Caenorhabditis elegans: one gene and its partners. The protein of the gene in region 1 purifies or fractionates together with the protein of each later gene. This does not show direct contact. Each region holds a gene or a part of one and is shown in the gene's direction. Other genes may lie near its edges.

Evidence for each region.
Region 2: the proteins of C07D8.6 (region 1) and eak-7 fractionate together in Caenorhabditis elegans (co-fractionation; one large-scale study listed by BioGRID). This does not show direct contact.
Region 3: the proteins of C07D8.6 (region 1) and C36A4.4 fractionate together in Caenorhabditis elegans (co-fractionation; one large-scale study listed by BioGRID). This does not show direct contact.
Region 4: the proteins of C07D8.6 (region 1) and gst-42 fractionate together in Caenorhabditis elegans (co-fractionation; one large-scale study listed by BioGRID). This does not show direct contact.

What each region holds. Positions count from the first base shown.
Region 1 is NC_003284.9:7,339,960-7,343,303, forward strand, and holds C07D8.6 (NADP-dependent oxidoreductase domain-containing protein), read left to right. Parts: upstream 1-1,549; 5' UTR 1,550-1,576; coding exon 1,577-1,819; intron 1,820-1,870; coding exon 1,871-2,280; intron 2,281-2,327; coding exon 2,328-2,582; intron 2,583-2,635; coding exon 2,636-2,681; 3' UTR 2,682-2,821; downstream 2,822-3,344.
Region 2 is NC_003282.8:12,563,241-12,567,984, reverse strand, and holds eak-7 (MTOR-associated protein MEAK7), read left to right. Parts: upstream 1-2,001; 5' UTR 2,002-2,003; coding exon 2,004-2,129; intron 2,130-2,184; coding exon 2,185-2,364; intron 2,365-2,411; coding exon 2,412-2,838; intron 2,839-3,282; coding exon 3,283-3,428; intron 3,429-3,509; coding exon 3,510-3,632; intron 3,633-3,692; coding exon 3,693-3,890; 3' UTR 3,891-4,210; downstream 4,211-4,744. Other genes in the region: Protein let-99, read right to left, coding at 1-34, 85-129; hsb-1 (Heat shock factor-binding protein 1), read left to right, coding at 773-853, 908-1,069.
Region 3 is NC_003281.10:3,840,741-3,845,625, reverse strand, and holds C36A4.4 (putative UDP-N-acetylglucosamine pyrophosphorylase), read left to right. Parts: upstream 1-2,011; 5' UTR 2,012-2,015; coding exon 2,016-2,267; intron 2,268-2,321; coding exon 2,322-2,742; intron 2,743-3,245; coding exon 3,246-3,594; intron 3,595-3,644; coding exon 3,645-3,898; intron 3,899-3,955; coding exon 3,956-4,134; 3' UTR 4,135-4,380; downstream 4,381-4,885. Other genes in the region: maph-1.3 (Microtubule-associated protein futsch), read right to left, coding at 1-465, 512-733; C36A4.11 (uncharacterized protein), read right to left, coding at 4,476-4,483, 4,542-4,740.
Region 4 is NC_003284.9:11,725,728-11,729,909, reverse strand, and holds gst-42 (putative maleylacetoacetate isomerase), read left to right. Parts: upstream 1-1,973; 5' UTR 1,974-2,113; coding exon 2,114-2,180; intron 2,181-2,230; coding exon 2,231-2,295; intron 2,296-2,339; coding exon 2,340-2,513; intron 2,514-2,604; coding exon 2,605-2,685; intron 2,686-2,734; coding exon 2,735-2,871; intron 2,872-3,295; coding exon 3,296-3,416; 3' UTR 3,417-3,646; downstream 3,647-4,182. Other genes in the region: D1053.3 (Ras family protein), read left to right, coding at 1-47; D1053.2 (Histone-lysine N-methyltransferase, H3 lysine-79 specific), read right to left, coding at 1,167-1,169, 1,244-1,350, 1,405-1,759.

The sequences.
Region 1 (3,344 bases):
CATGTCCCCTTTACCTCTTTTGTTCTCCCAACTCGTCAGTCTTTTGGGCCCGTCAAAATCTTTTGGTCTTACTGGTACTGTATAGGTATATATTTAATTGTTCATTTTTGAAATGCTGCTTCGTGGTCCAAATAACCTGATACCTTGATATGGATATTTGAAATGAATGTTGCAAATTTAGAATAATTGAAAACCAACAACTATTATTTTTGTTTCAAAGTAAACTATTAATTTCACTGTATTGAATTTCTGTTTGTATATGAACACAATACAAATGCGATAATTTCAGAATTTAAATGAATAAAAAAAGTAAAATCAGAGGAAAAATGGTATCAAAGTCGGAAAACGCACTGATTTTTTATCAAAAAAATATCCTTATAGAAAAATGGAACAATTAAAATTGGTTTTTCCTGTTGTCTCACTTTTGAGTATATTTTCTAACGTTTTTCAAGTAAAACGGATTCAAATTAGAGTTAAAATCACAAAATTCATTTTCAGTGCGATTAAAATCCTGAATCGTTGTTGCGCAGTGTTTTGTTACCCATCCTACACTCTCCCTTTTTTGCCCGCACTCTCTCCACGCGCCTTTTCTTCAAAAATATTGCGCGTCAAATCTGTTATGTGATCTGCATTATGCGCAAACTGTGCAATCACTGCAAGAAAGAGGAAACCGGGAACATTTTTTTGAACGCGGGAACGGAACGGGGCGTGGCTTCCTTGGTCAGTATAAAAGGGAAGAAATCTGGGGCAACTGACATTGTTTTCCATTTTTCCTGCTTATTTTTTCCTTTTTTACGTTGCCGTGACCTCTCTCTCTCTCGCCTATCCTCTCCTTGGCACTCACTTTCCCGGTGCTCATGAATCAAATCATGTTCAAATTAGCTGGTAAAAATGCTGCTTGAAAATAAAATAAAACTAACAGTTCTAGAATGTAGATTGATATCTTACCCTTATCAGTAGACGTTTATAAAATGCGCTTAATTTCGCCTACTACAAACGCACCTCCTAAGTAACACTTTTGAAACACTGAAAATGATACAAATTTCCATTTAAAATTTCGTTATCTCCGAAATACGTCCACGGTGCATGCTTCGAACAATAAAATGTCATCATTTTTTGACCCACAGATTCTCTCTCATTCTCCCCTAACCTCCTGCGTATCATTTATATTTTGCTGGCAAACTATTGCATTTCGGGAACAAGATACACCATTGGTCTCTCTCAAACTGATTCCTACCGACAGCTGCTATCGCTTGATAAAGATGATTTTTTTTGAATATAAATACCGTGAGGCATAAGGTAGATTAAATCAGCGCCCTCAACCCTTTTTTGGAAATAACTTGAATAGTGTCAAGGTTTGTAAGATTTTCATCAGCCCTCCCTCCCCTCTTAGCATTCTCTATTTCTATTTCCGTCTGATCAAATATAGCACAATCGTCTGTTAGTTATCAAACTTTGGACAATTTTATTTGCCGATTTTCTTTTACTCTATACTTTATCACCTCGTTTTGTTCTCAAAAATTTCACATTTCTATTTTTTCAATTTTAGAATCTCCTCAACACTCGGTCCATCACCATGTCTTCCGCAACTGCTTCCATCAAGCTTTCCAACGGAGTTGAGATGCCGGTCATCGGTCTCGGAACCTGGCAGTCAAGCCCCGCCGAAGTCATCACCGCCGTGAAGACCGCCGTCAAAGCTGGCTACCGTCTCATCGATACCGCATCCGTATACCAAAACGAGGAAGCCATCGGAACTGCTATCAAGGAGCTTCTCGAGGAGGGAGTTGTCAAACGTGAGGAGCTGTTCATCACTACTAAGGTTTGCAAAAATAGCATCTTTATATTATTTTATACAAATCCGGTTTTACAGGCTTGGACTCACGAGTTGGCTCCGGGAAAACTGGAGGGTGGACTTCGCGAGTCCCTCAAGAAGCTTCAACTGGAGTACGTCGACTTGTACCTTGCTCACATGCCAGCTGCATTCAACGATGACATGAGCGAGCACATCGCTTCGCCAGTGGAGGACGTCTGGCGTCAGTTTGATGCAGTCTACAAGGCCGGACTTGCCAAGGCTGTCGGTGTCTCCAACTGGAACAACGATCAGATTTCTCGTGCTCTTGCTCTTGGATTGACACCAGTTCACAACTCCCAAGTCGAGCTTCATCTCTACTTCCCACAGCACGACCACGTCGATTTCTGCAAGAAGCACAATATCTCGGTCACTTCCTACGCCACTTTGGGAAGCCCAGGACGTGTCAACTTCACTCTTCCAACTGGACAGTAAGTTTAACAAGTAGCTTGTTCCTTTTCTCAACACCTATTTGCAGGAAATTGGACTGGGCTCCAGCTCCATCCGACCTTCAAGACCAAAATGTGTTGGCTTTGGCTGAGAAAACCCACAAGACTCCAGCCCAGGTGCTCCTCCGCTACGCTCTTGATCGTGGATGCGCAATCCTTCCAAAGTCGATCCAAGAAAATCGCATCAAGGAGAACTTCGAGGTGTTCGACTTCTCTCTCACTGAAGAGGACATTGCCAAGCTCGAGGAGAGCAAGAACTCGCAGCGTCTCTTTCTTCAAGATTTGTAAGTTTATAGGACAAAATGACTGAAACTTTAGTAACCCAACTCTTTTTCAGTATGACCGGACACCCCGAGGATGCCTTTGCTGCTGAGCGCAAGTAGATCACCGTCATCCACAACTGGTTCTTCGTTCATCATTTCAAAGTTCAATTTCCCATTCACATTCGTCACACGTTCTCTTTCCTTTTTGGCATGTATTTCTCAGCATGATTGCTTTATTTCAAAAATAAATACGTTGATCTAAATTTTGAACCCCAAAAAACATCACATAAGTCTGTCATCATCTTTGCCAGCCTGTCAGCCCTACCTTCCTTTTTTCCAGTCGAAAAAAAAACTCGAGTCTCCTACTCTGTGAGATAGTTTGGAAATCCCTAGCTCATCTGCGAGGTTTGGACAGAATTTTTCACAATTTGTGGCTCTTCGCTGTAGAGAATTATGCACAGCTACTTTGATGAGATGCATCCAATAGAGCCTGCAGTCGTTCAACATTATAAGAGCCACCAATTTTCAATTGTGGCGTCACCATATTTTGTCTAATTAAAGACGGCCCTGATTGTGAGACATATTCTGAGTTGTACCGTTTCCCTTCAAAAATAAGAATAAGCAATCAATTTGTTTGGCAAACTCATACTATTCGAGGGCTAATCGTAATATTCATTCGAATTTCTCAAGTTTAAGTTCTTAGAAGGTAAAAAACATAGCGATGAAATATTTTTACAACGCACAAACTTGTTTTCTTCTCAAAATTCTCATATTTTGAAATTT
Region 2 (4,744 bases), on another chromosome or scaffold:
AGTTTGAACGAAAATGCCATAGAATTTCGTCGAACTGAAAATCAGAATAAAATTTCAAAAGACAAATGTGAAACATTTTAATACCAGATGCGTCGCCTTGAACTTCTCCGATGAGTAGTCGGCAGACATCACGGCAAGACGGCCTAAAACTTGAATTTTGATGGTTTATTGATAAATTTAAGAACTTCTTAAAAGAAAACGAGATTTCATCACGAAAAAAAGCAAGAATGAGGAAAAATTTCTGGAAACTTCCTAAAAATTGCTGAAACGAGTGAAGTTTTGGCGCCGAAGTTTTGTTTACGGACCAAACACACGAAAACACGACTTGTCACACAACTTATTAGCTACAGTAACCCATTCTGCTTTGAAAATTTCTCTTTTTAATTAAAAATTCCTCGATTCAGATGTTTTTTTTTTCTCAAAGTGTTTCTAATAATTATATTTTCCTCGAAATCCACACTATTTTACATAAAACAAATCATCTTATTCTGCTCTTTTCGCCGTTTACACCATCTGTCCTTCTCCAATGACTCCTTCTCTGCGTCTCTTTCACTCTCTCGCCGCCCTCTTTTTCTCTGTCGTCTCTCACTTCGACGTACTTTCTCTCGTGTTGTTGTTCCCGTACTTTTGTGTGTTCCACTGTTTGTGAGATGACGGCTAGTTGCCTGGTACTGGATTCTCACCAGTTTTAATTGATTTTTCATCAAATTTTCTTTAAAAACTGATTAAACTTTGTGATTTTTATCGTATTTTTACAGATTTTCAGTTCAAAATGTCCGATGAGAAGTCTACCACACCAACCGCTCAACTCGACGCTCCAGCCGATGGAAATATGAATGATTTGACGTCGTTGGTACGTAAATACTTGAAAAAAATTGTCAATTTTCTAAAAAATCCTAAAACTCAGATACAAGGAGTTCTGCAACAGACACAGGATCGATTCCAGCACATGTCGGATCAGATTATTCGGCGAATCGATGATATGACAACGAGAATCGATGATTTGGAGAAGAATATCAACGATTTGCTGCAATCGAACCAAGTTGAACATCCGCCAAGCGCTCAATAAGATTGGTACGGAATGAGAAAAATGGGAAACATTCTCAAAAATTTCGGTCGATGTTTTGACCACTCGTTATTTTTGAAAAACAGTGTTGTTTTTGATGTCGACTTTGAAATTTCAAAAAAAAACAATAATATGGGCCGTGGGACCCAATTAGAAATACAGTAAAAAACGCTCTTTGGCCGAATATTTTATAATTTTCATGTATGAAGTCAATCCTTTTATTCCTTCTTAACTTTAGTTTGAAATATATTTAGATTTCCTAGCGCCTTTCCAATCGATTTACCACGTGGTAATCAGGCCGATTGCACCGTTATTCCAAGACTTTATCATTAAAAATTAGTATAAAAATATAGAACTTCACCTATTAATTTTGGCTGAAAAATTCGCCGAAGAGCTCAAAAATGGTCTGAAAGATGCCAAATTTCCACTAAAAAATCAATTTGTAGAGATTATTAATAACTAATCTCTCTTCAATTTCTATTTTTTCCAGCTCTACACTCTTCCCAAATGAATCATCGTCGCTTCCTTCTTCATCATCATCATAATTCCAATTCGTTTTGTGTGCTTCTCTGCGTCTCTCCTACATACATATACTCTTTTCACGTCTTCTTCTTCTTCTTTTTCTACTGATTATGCACGTGTTGAGAGGATTCATGACTACTATGTTGTGCCTCCTGCTTTTAATCTCTTATTCAATAACTTTTGTTGCATTTTATTACGATTTTCGGAATTATTTTATTTATATGTGAAAACACAAATTTTGCCAAAAATTCAAATTTTTGTGCATTTTTAAAAAAAATTTTCAATATGAAACTATTCATCTTACTTTTTCTTCTTCTTCCCTTGAATTTTTTCTCATACTAAATGTTGATTTCTCACAGTTTTTACTAACTATTTCGCATCCGGATTTTCAGATAAAAAACATATAATTTCAGAAATGGGAGCTCAAAATTCGAAGCGAAAAGATCTAAAAAATATTAACGATGAGGATTATGCACATTTTATGGAAAAACTCAAAAAACACACAGATGGAAAGGACAAAATGACGCGAGACCAGTTTGTGGTGAATTAATTTTTAGAAGGAAAATACATTTTAATATAAAATTTTCAAATTCCAGGCAATGTTCATACCGATTCTGGGTGAATATTCATCACAATTCTACTTTCGTTTGGTAAAAAACGAGCCGCAGGGCGTTTTGCTCGCTAAAACAATCCTAAAATGTATTGATACTGGACTGGGACATTTCGATCAGCTCGCCGATATGCTCAGATTCTGTTTTGGAGATCAAAAAGATCAGGTTTCGAATTTATTAATTTAAAGAAAAACTTCTTTTTTTTTTGTCAGATAATGCGAAATGTTGTGAAAATCTTCTGTGAAGGAAACAAATTCACCCGAGAGGATCAGGTCCGTCTCTACGATTATTTCGAAACAGAAAATACAAAACCAGTGAGCGAACTGGAAAGCTTTTTCTCAATGTGCCCACTGTTCGCCTATTGTGCTTCGTTCATTTTCCAACGACTTTTGGATAAAACTGGAGACTCGAAAATGCCAATTCTCTCGGACAAGACTCATTTAATGGGAAATATCGATCAATTAGTGCTCAACTCGCACCTTCCATTCGATCGACGCAAAAATTGGACACTTTTATATTCAAACATGAAACACGGGCAAAGTTTCTCACAATTGGTTAAATGTATTAATGGAGAAGGTCCTTGTATGATTGTGATCAGATCAATGAAAGGACGACGATTTGGGTTTTTCGCCTCGCAAGGTACACAAGAAATGTTGTGTCGATTTACGCAGCTCGTGTACTCCTCGAGAAGAATTTATACCTTATGATTTGCAGAAGATTTTACAGATTTTACTTTTTTTGCAGATTTTCTAGATTTCAGATCTTTCTTTTTGTAGACTGAAACCGAGAAATTGTAGTTTTACAATAGCAAATACATTTTCAAAAATGCTATAAATTATAGATAAATTGATGATTCCAGTTTTAAATATCAAAAAAATTGACAAACAGTTTCAAAAATTGAACATTTCATCCAAAAACTGTAAAATCTTCCTCCACGAGGAATACACGAACTGCGTAAATCCACACATGGCTGTGTTACAAGTTTCGCAGTAATTCTTCATTTTTTCAATTATGATAAAGCAACGGAATTCTAGCAGATACTATTTGAGTACCAATTTTCTCTAAAAATTGAAAATTTTTTAGGTTTTCTCGCGGGACCCCAATACCGTGGCACGGCCGAGTGTTTCCTCTTCCAGCTGGCTCCGAAAATTGCAACTTTTGATGCGACCGGGCGGACTGAGAATTACGTGTACCTAAACTACCAGCAACAGCAACATCCGAATGGATTGGTGAGTATATCCCGCCATGGATCATTCAGTATCTAGAGAACCAGTTTTACGATTTTTAAGTGTGAAATTTTCAAATTTCAGGGAATTGGTGGAACCGAATCCGTATGGCCGTTGTTTATCCACGAGGAGTTTGGCGGTGGAACGTGCCAAAAGAATTCCAGTTCGTTTGAGCCTTGCCACATTGCCGAAGAGGACGAGTTCAAGGTGAATCGGGACTAAAGCCCTTAAAGCCGAAAAAACGAAACAAAAACATGCATTTTCCAGATCAAAACAATCGAGGCTTGGCGCCCGGGCGACAAACCACAGAAATCATTCGAAGAGCAAATCTTGCTCGAGGAACGATCGCCGGAAAAATCGATAATCGACAAGGATCCGGAGGCTCGTGCGGTGCTCGAGTTGGCCGGAAAATCGATGCATTCGGAAGCGTATCGTGATCCGGCTCCCCTGCTCGATGGTGAATAGGCTCCGGAACCTCTAATCCCCAATTGCCACTTTCTCAGTCTTCTTTGATCCTTTACATCACCTGTAATTCCACTTTCATCAGTTTTTGTATCTCCTGTGCTATTTAAACGCTGCAAGACCCATGTGCGCCTTTAAATGATCACTATATCTTTGAATTCATAATACTTTTCCGCCGCCCGTCCCCATGTCCTGCCGCCGTGAGCTAAACAATGGTTGTTAATATTTCGACAATTTTACATGTAAATTTTCACATCCATACGTTTCTGCAATTTTTCAATCAAAAATTCTAGAAATTTTCAAATAAAAATGAATTTTCGATTTTTTCATCATACCAACTAAAACATAACATTTTTATAAGGCTTCCAATTCAAGATGATGAGCTCATTCTCTAACGCGGATTACAAAAAATCATTCAAACTGCGTCCGTCGATCCGTCTCTTCTCGCGTCGACTCCTCGTGTGATTTGCCGCTTCCAACACCCTAGCAGCGACAGCAGTGCTCCATATTTCACCCGTGAGCCGACGTTTCAGCCGATCCAAGAGTTTATCGAAATGTCCGAACATTTTCACGATATTACGTACGTACGTTTTCAGCTCAGAATTCGCATTTATTTTAAGTTCCGATAGTGAAAAATGGTGACAAAAAATTTAAATTCCTGTCAAAAAGTGGGTGAAAGCCATAATTTTGGAAGATAACCAAACATCTCTTGTCTTTTTCTACGATTCATGTATTTTAATTGAGGATTCCATGTCAGAGTCGCGCGGCGTCGGAGCCTCACGCCGGCCGGCCTTCTTCGTCGCTCCTTCAAAAAATATTTTATATATATACAAAAAATATAATATATATGCTCTCAA
Region 3 (4,885 bases), on another chromosome or scaffold:
AGGAATATCCAACAACGCATCCTTCGACTTCACGGTGGGCGCGTTGAGGAATGGAAGTGATTTCGCTGCCTTGTCGAGCGATTGTTGGATCCTCGCAAGTGAGCTCGTCCCCGAAATAAGCACTCTGACCGCCGATTGATCCGTCATCGCAGGCCTCCAGAGCAGGACGGCGATGGTTCCATTCTCAGCGGCCGCCTTCTCCACTTCTGCCTCGTTTCCTCCTGCCAACGCCTTTGTGATCACTTCGGAGTCTTTGACGTCTCCAGCCAGAATATACATGGAGAGAACTCCTTTTGCAGCTGACTGGTATATGATGTGTGCCGGATATTTCGGGCTGAACAGTGGCGGTGCAACGGAGAGAAGCTTCGAGTTCGCTTCTTGAATTGCTTTGGCAATCTCTCCACTGCTTCCCGGCTTGGCAGTCTTGAACGGCTTCGTGTTGGTGAACACCGGCAACGGTTTTCCCTGAAAAAAGTAGATTATCAAAATTTTCATTAAAGTTTCTACAAACCTGTTCCAACAGAGCAGACGTGGTTCCGAGGTTACCAAGCGTCGGCGCGGCGAGCAGCACGGCAGAGACGTCCCTGACGTGAGCCACGAATCCTGGGCTTTTTTCGGCGAATCCCCCATCGAGAATGTAGACGCCGTCAAAATCAAACAAGGTGGCTGTGTTGGCCGCACCGCCCAAGACGTAGACGCATGCCTTCGACGACATGATGTATTCTTCCGGCATCTGGAAAGAAGGAGTAATTTTCAACAGTTTTAAGCACGTATACGTAGAAAATGAAAGAGAACGCTGAAAGATTGAATTATGGCGAATTTTATGCCAAAATAATTACAAAAACCCTAATTTCGGAGTTTTTCGCGCTTTTCTGTAGACTTAAGTTCATTTTTCAACCATATTAGCGACTAAAAATGTTCAAAAACTAATCAAAAATGTGAAATAAACGACAAAATTATAGGGAAAATGCAAAAGCTTCTTGGCTGCTGACAAAATTGCAGATTTTTTAGGATTTACAAAAAAAAGGTTTCAGTGGGCGGTGCCAATTCGCAACCACCGCACGCTCATTTCGCAAGCCTCGCACGTTTTTTCAGTGATCTTTTTAAATACCTTTTTTAAAGAAAAACGCGCGAGAATAAACAAATAAACAAATAAACAAAAACGAGACAGAAAAACACGAATGAGCTCTCTCGCCGCCTTATATAGCGCGGTGAGAGACGCAGAGAATGCAGGGAAATCAGAATACGACCGCTGCCGCCGTGGATCAAGATCACTAGTGATATCAGTCTCCTCTTTGTTTGATCTACCAGTAGAAGTGCAGAGCGCCTGCGATGGGTGGATTTTTTTCATTTTCAACTTTTTCAATGTCGCTGAATCAATACGTCATTTCTATTGGAAGCTAGTCTTTTTGGTTATTTTTTAGATTAAGTTTGAGTCTTGCGGTGCTCGAAAAACTCAAAATCTTTTTAAATCCACTGGTATATATATATTGGGAGAATTGAACTCTGTGCATTTTTCCGTCACTGTGTTCGCGTACTTTTAAGTTTTTATGGCGGCAGCGGCGCCATGTTCAGATGTTTTTTTATATGTTTTGTGATCTTTTCATCATTTTCTTGAAGAATTTGCAGATTTTTTTTCATTTTCAGTGAATTTTTCTTAATAAAAACTTTTTTTTTCCATTTAGATTGGATTTCTCCGCATTTTCTTCGGCGAAACAAGAGATTCTCTGTTTTTATTGCATTCTAAAAACGTTAAGCCAACAATCAATATTTTGTCGTGTTTCTTGTTTTCCATCTCCTTGTTTTTAGAGTTTTAAAGTAGGAAACGTGTTAAATAAGTGCAGTTTTTTGTGTCTATCTATTTTCCAAATGAACATTTCTGTAATTAGAGAGAAGCTGCCACACACAGCGTTATGAATAATTATTTTCTTATCTTTGCGCCGTGTATTATCACTTTTTGAATTGTTTTCCACCGGAGAATCGTTTATTTAATTTTGATCATTATTTTCAGTACGATGACCATCACTGCTCCACCAAAAGACGAGATTATCTCAAAGTTTCCGGGCTCTGAGCCACTTCTCAACTTTTACAATGAGCTCTCGGATGCCGAAAAATCGAAGCTTTTCCACCAAATTTCAACTCTAAACCTTTCGGAAGCTCATCAATGGTTCATTGATTCAGCGGATCAACGGGCTCCATCAACTGCGGAAGACCTTAAGCCGGTTCTTGATTCTCAGCATTTTGTACAAGCTGAATTGCATCAAGTGGTAGAGACTTTTAATATTTAGGTAAAACCATCATTAAAATTACATTATTTTCAGATCCTCGATGGTCTCTGGAACAAGGGAATGGATGCTATTGGACGTGGAGAAGTATGTGCAATTGTGCTCGCCGGTGGACAAGCTACACGTCTTGGATCAAGTCAACCGAAAGGAACGATTCCATTGGGAATTAACGCTTCATTTGGAGATTCTCTTTTGGGAATTCAAGCTGCCAAAATTGCACTTCTTCAGGCTCTCGCTGGAGAACGGGAGCATCAGAATCCGGGAAAAATTCACTGGGCAGTTATGACGTCACCTGGAACAGAGGAGGCTACTCGTGAGCATGTGAAGAAACTGGCGGCTCATCATGGATTCGATTTCGATGAACAAATTACTATTTTCTCACAAGATGAAATTGCTGCATACGATGAGCAGGGAAACTTCCTTCTCGGAACTAAAGGATCTGTTGTTGCTGCTCCAAGTATGAGTTTTTACGCAATTCGTGTACTCCTCGAGGAAAACTGTTTTTACGAATTTTTCAGCTATAATTCTGACTTTTTGATTATTTTTTAATCTTCAAAACGAAAAATTATATGACATTTAAAGTATTTTCGGTGTCAATATTGAAAGCAGTATTAATTGCATGGATTTTCACCCAAAACACACTAAAAATATAAATTAGTTGACGATTTGAATTTAAAAAATATCTAAAATTAAGTATTTTATCCGAATACTTAAAAATTTCGTACAAAAAAATAATTATTCTTTCTCGGGGAGTACACCAGCTGCGTAAATCGACACAAAAATTTTAAAAAATGAGTTTTTCAACGAAAAAAAAATCGAATTTTCAATATTTTAAAGATAATGTGTTCTCATCAAACTCAACTTTTTTTAGAACATAAAATCTAGACTTTTTTCTGGATTTCAAAAAAAGAAAATTATCGATTTTCTCACAAAAAACCGAAAAATCATATTTTTTTTCAGACGGCAACGGAGGTCTCTACTCTGCCATCTCTGCTCATTTGCCACGTCTTCGCGCGAAAGGAATCAAATATTTCCATGTGTATTGTGTGGACAACATTCTGTGCAAAGTTGCCGACCCTCATTTCATCGGATTCGCCATTTCAAACGAAGCTGACGTTGCAACCAAGTGTGTTCCGAAGCAAAAAGGAGAACTCGTCGGATCAGTTTGTCTTGATAGAGGACTACCACGTGTCGTTGAATATTCGGAGCTTGGAGCCGAGTTGGCTGAACAAAAGACACCGGATGGAAAATATTTGTTTGGTGCAGGATCTATTGCAAATCACTTTTTCACGATGGATTTCATGGATAGGTTTGTAATTTCAAATTTGGAGAAAAAGCTTAATTTTAAAATAAATACAGAGTCTGCTCTCCATCATCTCGTCTTCCATATCATCGTGCTCACAAGAAGATTTCCTATGTGAATGAGCAGGGAACCATTGTCAAACCGGAAAAACCAAATGGTATCAAGCTGGAGCAGTTTATTTTCGACGTCTTCGAGCTCTCGAAGCGATTTTTCATTTGGGAGGTGGCGAGGAACGAAGAGTTTTCTCCATTGAAAAATGCTCAATCTGTTGGAACTGATTGTTTGAGCACTTGTCAGAGAGATTTGTCCAGTGAGTAGATTTTTCTGTGAATTCAGAATTAAAATTGATTTAAAAACTGATTTTCAGATGTGAACAAGTTGTGGCTGGAACGTGTTCAAGCGAAAGTGACTGCAACTGAAAAGCCGATCTACTTGAAGACAATTGTCTCCTACAACGGAGAGAATCTTCAAGAACTCCGTCATCGTGAAATTTCTGATAGTGCCTTGGAATCCGATCATTCGATTAACAAATTCTTTGTTGTCTAGTCTTCTTTTGTTTCATATTTATACTGATTGCCCTACTCATTCCCCTATCATTTCCCAGCCAACTGTGTTTTATTTATGTTAAAATCCCCGTGATGCTTTCAAATTTCCTTCGGTATTTTCCCCAAAAACCGTAGTTATTAGGCCGATATTATTGCTTGACATCCATTTGTTTTAAATTTCTTAAATTTTCGTAAACTGAAACGAGTTCGAATACAGATTTTGTAAATACTAAAAATGTTAGAATGAGTTGGTACAATTTTATAAATTTAAAAATGACAATTTATTAAAAAAAAAAGTTATCCTTGGAAATGTGCCTTCTGTTGGGAGGATGTATTTAGTCATTAATTTCCTGAAAAGAGCAATAATTTAAACAAGCAAATAACAAAAATTAAAAAAAAAAAACTTACCTAATAGGCCTGCCACGCGGGACTTGTTAGCACCGGATCCAATTCGAAGGCAATCTTCCTCTTCTTGTGCATCTGAGCCACCGTGGCTGTCGAAGATGTCGCAGTAGAAGCTGCTATCCGAACATTCTCCAGACTCTGTAGATCCACCGAAACCACTTTGGATGATGGCTTCTCTGTCGTTCTTCGCCTTTGTTCCCATTTAAGCTCACGCTCTAATATCTCGAATTTCTCCTTCAAAGTCCACTCGGGAGCATCAAAGGGACTTAGCACCGGTTTCCAAAAGTTTCCTGATTCGAATAGAAGAAGAATATTCAAAAACTATTCAGTAGTAATTAAATATAAAT
Region 4 (4,182 bases), 4.4 Mb from region 1:
AAAAAGGAGAGAAAGTTGAAGATTCAAAAGTGTGCATCATAATGTAATGTGAGGAAATATGGAATGTCGTTTGATCTCAAATGGGAATAGATAATGCATTGTTTCGTATTATGGAAAAATTACTGAAACACAACTGTACTTAAATTTTAATGTTTCTTTTCTTGGTGAACTTTTCAGTTCTAGTCAGCTCCCCGAACCTCCCGGTAATTTTGAAATGTATGTTTCCAGTGAACTTGTGATATTGATGATAATTGGATTTTATAACAGTAGTTTGTGTATTTGTGTTTTATTAATTTTTGAGATTGGAATAAATAATTTGTAAATAAACATTTTCTCCACTATTACATTTTTGGATGAAATCTTAACTAAAAGAGGGATTCAAAAACAATTTGAAAATAGCATTTCGATGCTTGAAATGTGTAAAATTTTGCGCGGTAGTTCACTGTATTAATATTTTACAAGACTAAAAAAATCCATTAATCACTTTTTGCATATTACTTTACAGTCCAATTAGAAGAAAAGCTCAATACCAACTAATGAATAACCTAATGGAACATACTTTTTTCAAGAGTTTGTTGTATACTGTGAAGTTACAGCGTAGACATTGTTGAAGCAGCCAGACGGATGACATAGGATTGATCACTGAAAAATGACAGATTATCAAAAGACCAGTTTTTAGAACCAGCTTCATCCCAATCCCTAGTCGACTGATCTTTACCTCTCTTGCGTTTCGACTGATTCAGGTCAGAAATAGAAATGTCGTTGATGGGAACTTTTTTGAGAATACTCAATGGACAAATCGATGACGGATTTTAGGATCACAACGACGAGGGATTCAGAGACTTGCGAGGACAGCAGAGAACGGACAGACTAACATGGAAGGACATTTTGAAACGTTTTATAAATAGGACGGTTGATTTAAAAACAACAATTTATTGGACCAACTTGAGTGATAGTACAGATTGCAAGAAGTTGGTTTTTTAAATCATAAACGTGCTACATTGACGCACTGAGAAGAGACTGAGGGGAAAACAAAGGAGATGAAAGATCTATAGGGAGTGAAGGGGAGATCTTAAATAGAAAATACACCGGAAAATCAGAAGTTGACCCGAGCACGAAGACACGTTGATGAGAGAGGAGTTGGGAAGAAGAAAGGGCGTCGACGATCACTGTAAAAAGTTAATTAATATTAGTTCTGATTTTAACCCATAACCGCAAATATTTCTCATATTCACGAACTTACCTTATTGCGGTTGATCTCAGTGAGATAAAACGGAACTTTGTCACCAGTCCAAGACGTATTGTTTTCCACAAGATGAAGAAGACGCTCGTCCGTGATTTTCACAAAATCTGAAAAAGATATAATTAGTATTTTGATGTACCTAACACCTAGTTTCAACTTACCATCGATACGACGAGAAGTCGAGCTTTGAGAACGGGGACGTGGAACAATCGACTCTGATGAAATGATCCGCGTTCCGTCAATGCATTTCGACAAGATCTCTTTCAGCTCCAACTTGAGCTCCGGCGAAAAACGAACGTTGTTCACCACAATCACCGTGGCTTGGGTCTGGATCTCATTAATACGATCCACCAGATATGCTTTTAATGAACGTGTCTCAACGTCGTTTAAATTGAAAAATAGTTCCTGGATGCTCTCAATTTCATTTAAGCACATCAAAGTGCACTGTGTATTTTTATATTGTCTTTGAAAAAATGACTTGGGTACAGCTTGGGCAAGAGTTGGGAGCAGCCTCATAAAAAAAGTCGTGGGCTGCTTGTTCTCTCAAGGCATCGCCCAAGGCTTACCATAGTTTTGTCTACTTCTTCTTATTCCTTCTAATGTTTTTTGAATCTGCATTTCTCTCTTGGTCTACATATGATGTTGGTAATGTATAGTAGAAGACCACGTGTGTCTGCACAATTACACTATCTCTAGTGTTCTGCGTCTGCAATATACAACAACAAAACCATTTCGTCGACATACACCGTCCAATCTTATCAGTTAGTTCGACATCATTCCGTCTTTGACCCTTTTTGTTTATTTTTCAACTAGTCATTATCATCAGTTATTCTTTCTGAGAATTTACAAAATTATTTTCTGCTTGTAGACATGTCCAACCAAAAGCCAGTTCTGTATTCTTATTGGAGATCATCGTGCTCATGGAGAGTTCGCATCGGTTGGTATTTTAATTATATCAATTTTAACTAGCAAAAATGTTATTTTCAGCGCTTGCTTTGAAAAACGTGGACTACGAATACAAAACTGTCGACTTGCTGTCCGAAGAGGCTAAGGTAAGAGAAAATCAAGCGGTTCTTTAAATTATTTTAAAATTTAGAGCAAACTGAAAGAAATCAACCCAGCTGCAAAAGTACCAACATTTGTTGTGGATGGTCAAGTAATTACTGAAAGTCTTGCGATTATTGAGTATTTGGAAGAAACGCATCCAGACGTTCCACTTTTGCCAAAAGATCCAATCAAGAGAGCTCACGCTAGAGCTATTTCTCTTTTGGTAAGTTTTACGTATTTAGTTGGTTTTTTTCTTAACTTTATACTGCTATTGTTTTACAAAAACTGTAACAATTATGTTTTGAGGTTTACAGGTTGCTTCTGGAATTCAACCTCTTCACAATTTGAAGGTTCTTCAACTTTTGAATAAAAAAGAAGCAGGATTCGGAGGACAGGTTTAATTTCAGAATCTTCAATGTATGTTTTCAATTTTTAAAATTTCAGTTTGCCAAACAGTTTGTTGTCGAAGGTCTCACTGCTCTTGAAATTCTTCTAAAGCAACATTCTGGGAAGTATGCTGTCGGAGATGACGTCACGATTGCGGATCTCTCCATCCCGCCACTTATCTACTCAGCTAACCGGTATGATTATAGGGAGGGTCAGGGAATTTTGGACATAGATAACTTTTTGAGAAAATTTATTATGTTTTAGTAATCTATCCAGAATTTCAATGTATTAGTTTGACATTTTGCGTATTCAAAACCTCGAAAATTTGAACACCTTTTGGGTTACCCTCAAACAACACTGACCAATTTTTCATAGACAGTTACTGAATCATCTTAGCAAGTGATTTAAACGAAAACACATTCCTATTGAAAACAACATCCACTTGTGTGGCAACAACCTTTTTATCGGATTCCTGATTCAAACAAAATGTATTAGTCATTCAACAAACATGAATTGGAAGCGATGAGCGTTTAGGATGAGACATGAGAGATTCACAGATAACCATCAGAATAACCTCCCTTCCAAATCGTTCCGATCGCAATCAAACCGTCATTTCAGATTCAACCTCGATTTGTCGCCATACCCAACAGTGAATCGTATCAATGAGACTCTTGCTGATATCCCCGCCTTTATTGCCGCTCATCCTGATAATCAACCAGATACCGGACTCAATGCTTAGATTCTTATGAATGATTGCGTTATTGGATTGGACATACAAGAGTTAACTATTTGAGAATTAAAAAAAAATGTTTCTTTGTCTCTTAAATTAGCACAAAAGTAATAATAAATTTACAACAGAAAATGTCCGCGATATCCTAAAGCAAGTTGCTTTTTTTAACTTTGTAAACTAACTTTTCTCGTTTTCATACTGAGTGTTTTTTTTTCAAATAAATTAATTTCTTAAAAATATTTTGAACTTTATTCAAACGAAATATCCAATGGAAAATTTTTTAGTATGCGAGTTCCACTGATAACTTTTTTGCGTTCAAAAAAAATGTCCTGCTTTGAAGACAGAATTTTTGATGTTTACCTATTTAGAAGTATGTTTCGAAATTCAAGTTAAACAGTTGCAGACCGGAAGCCTCCAAAAGTCATTTTTTTGTCCTCCTCTTCATGACCAAACTCAATCCCTGGGGATTAGCATCTGAAAACCCAATCGGCAATGTTGTGTCATGGAAACTTTTAGAGAACTTTCGGAAGACTTCCGTGCAAAGAGAACGTGTTTTTACGGGCGAGGTTGGCATAGTCATAGTACTAGTTGGTTGCCACCCACAACACAAGCCGGCCTTTCGATTCATCAAAGTATCCGTTTTTTTCACTCTTCTCCTCCCGCATTCTCCCCCTCTTTTCTTTGTCAGTGTGGTCTGCAAAGTTCAATTTCCAACTTTTCTCATTTTCTCTATCTCTGGCTCGCTCTTCGCAGCTCCTTTTCTGCTTTTTTTGTC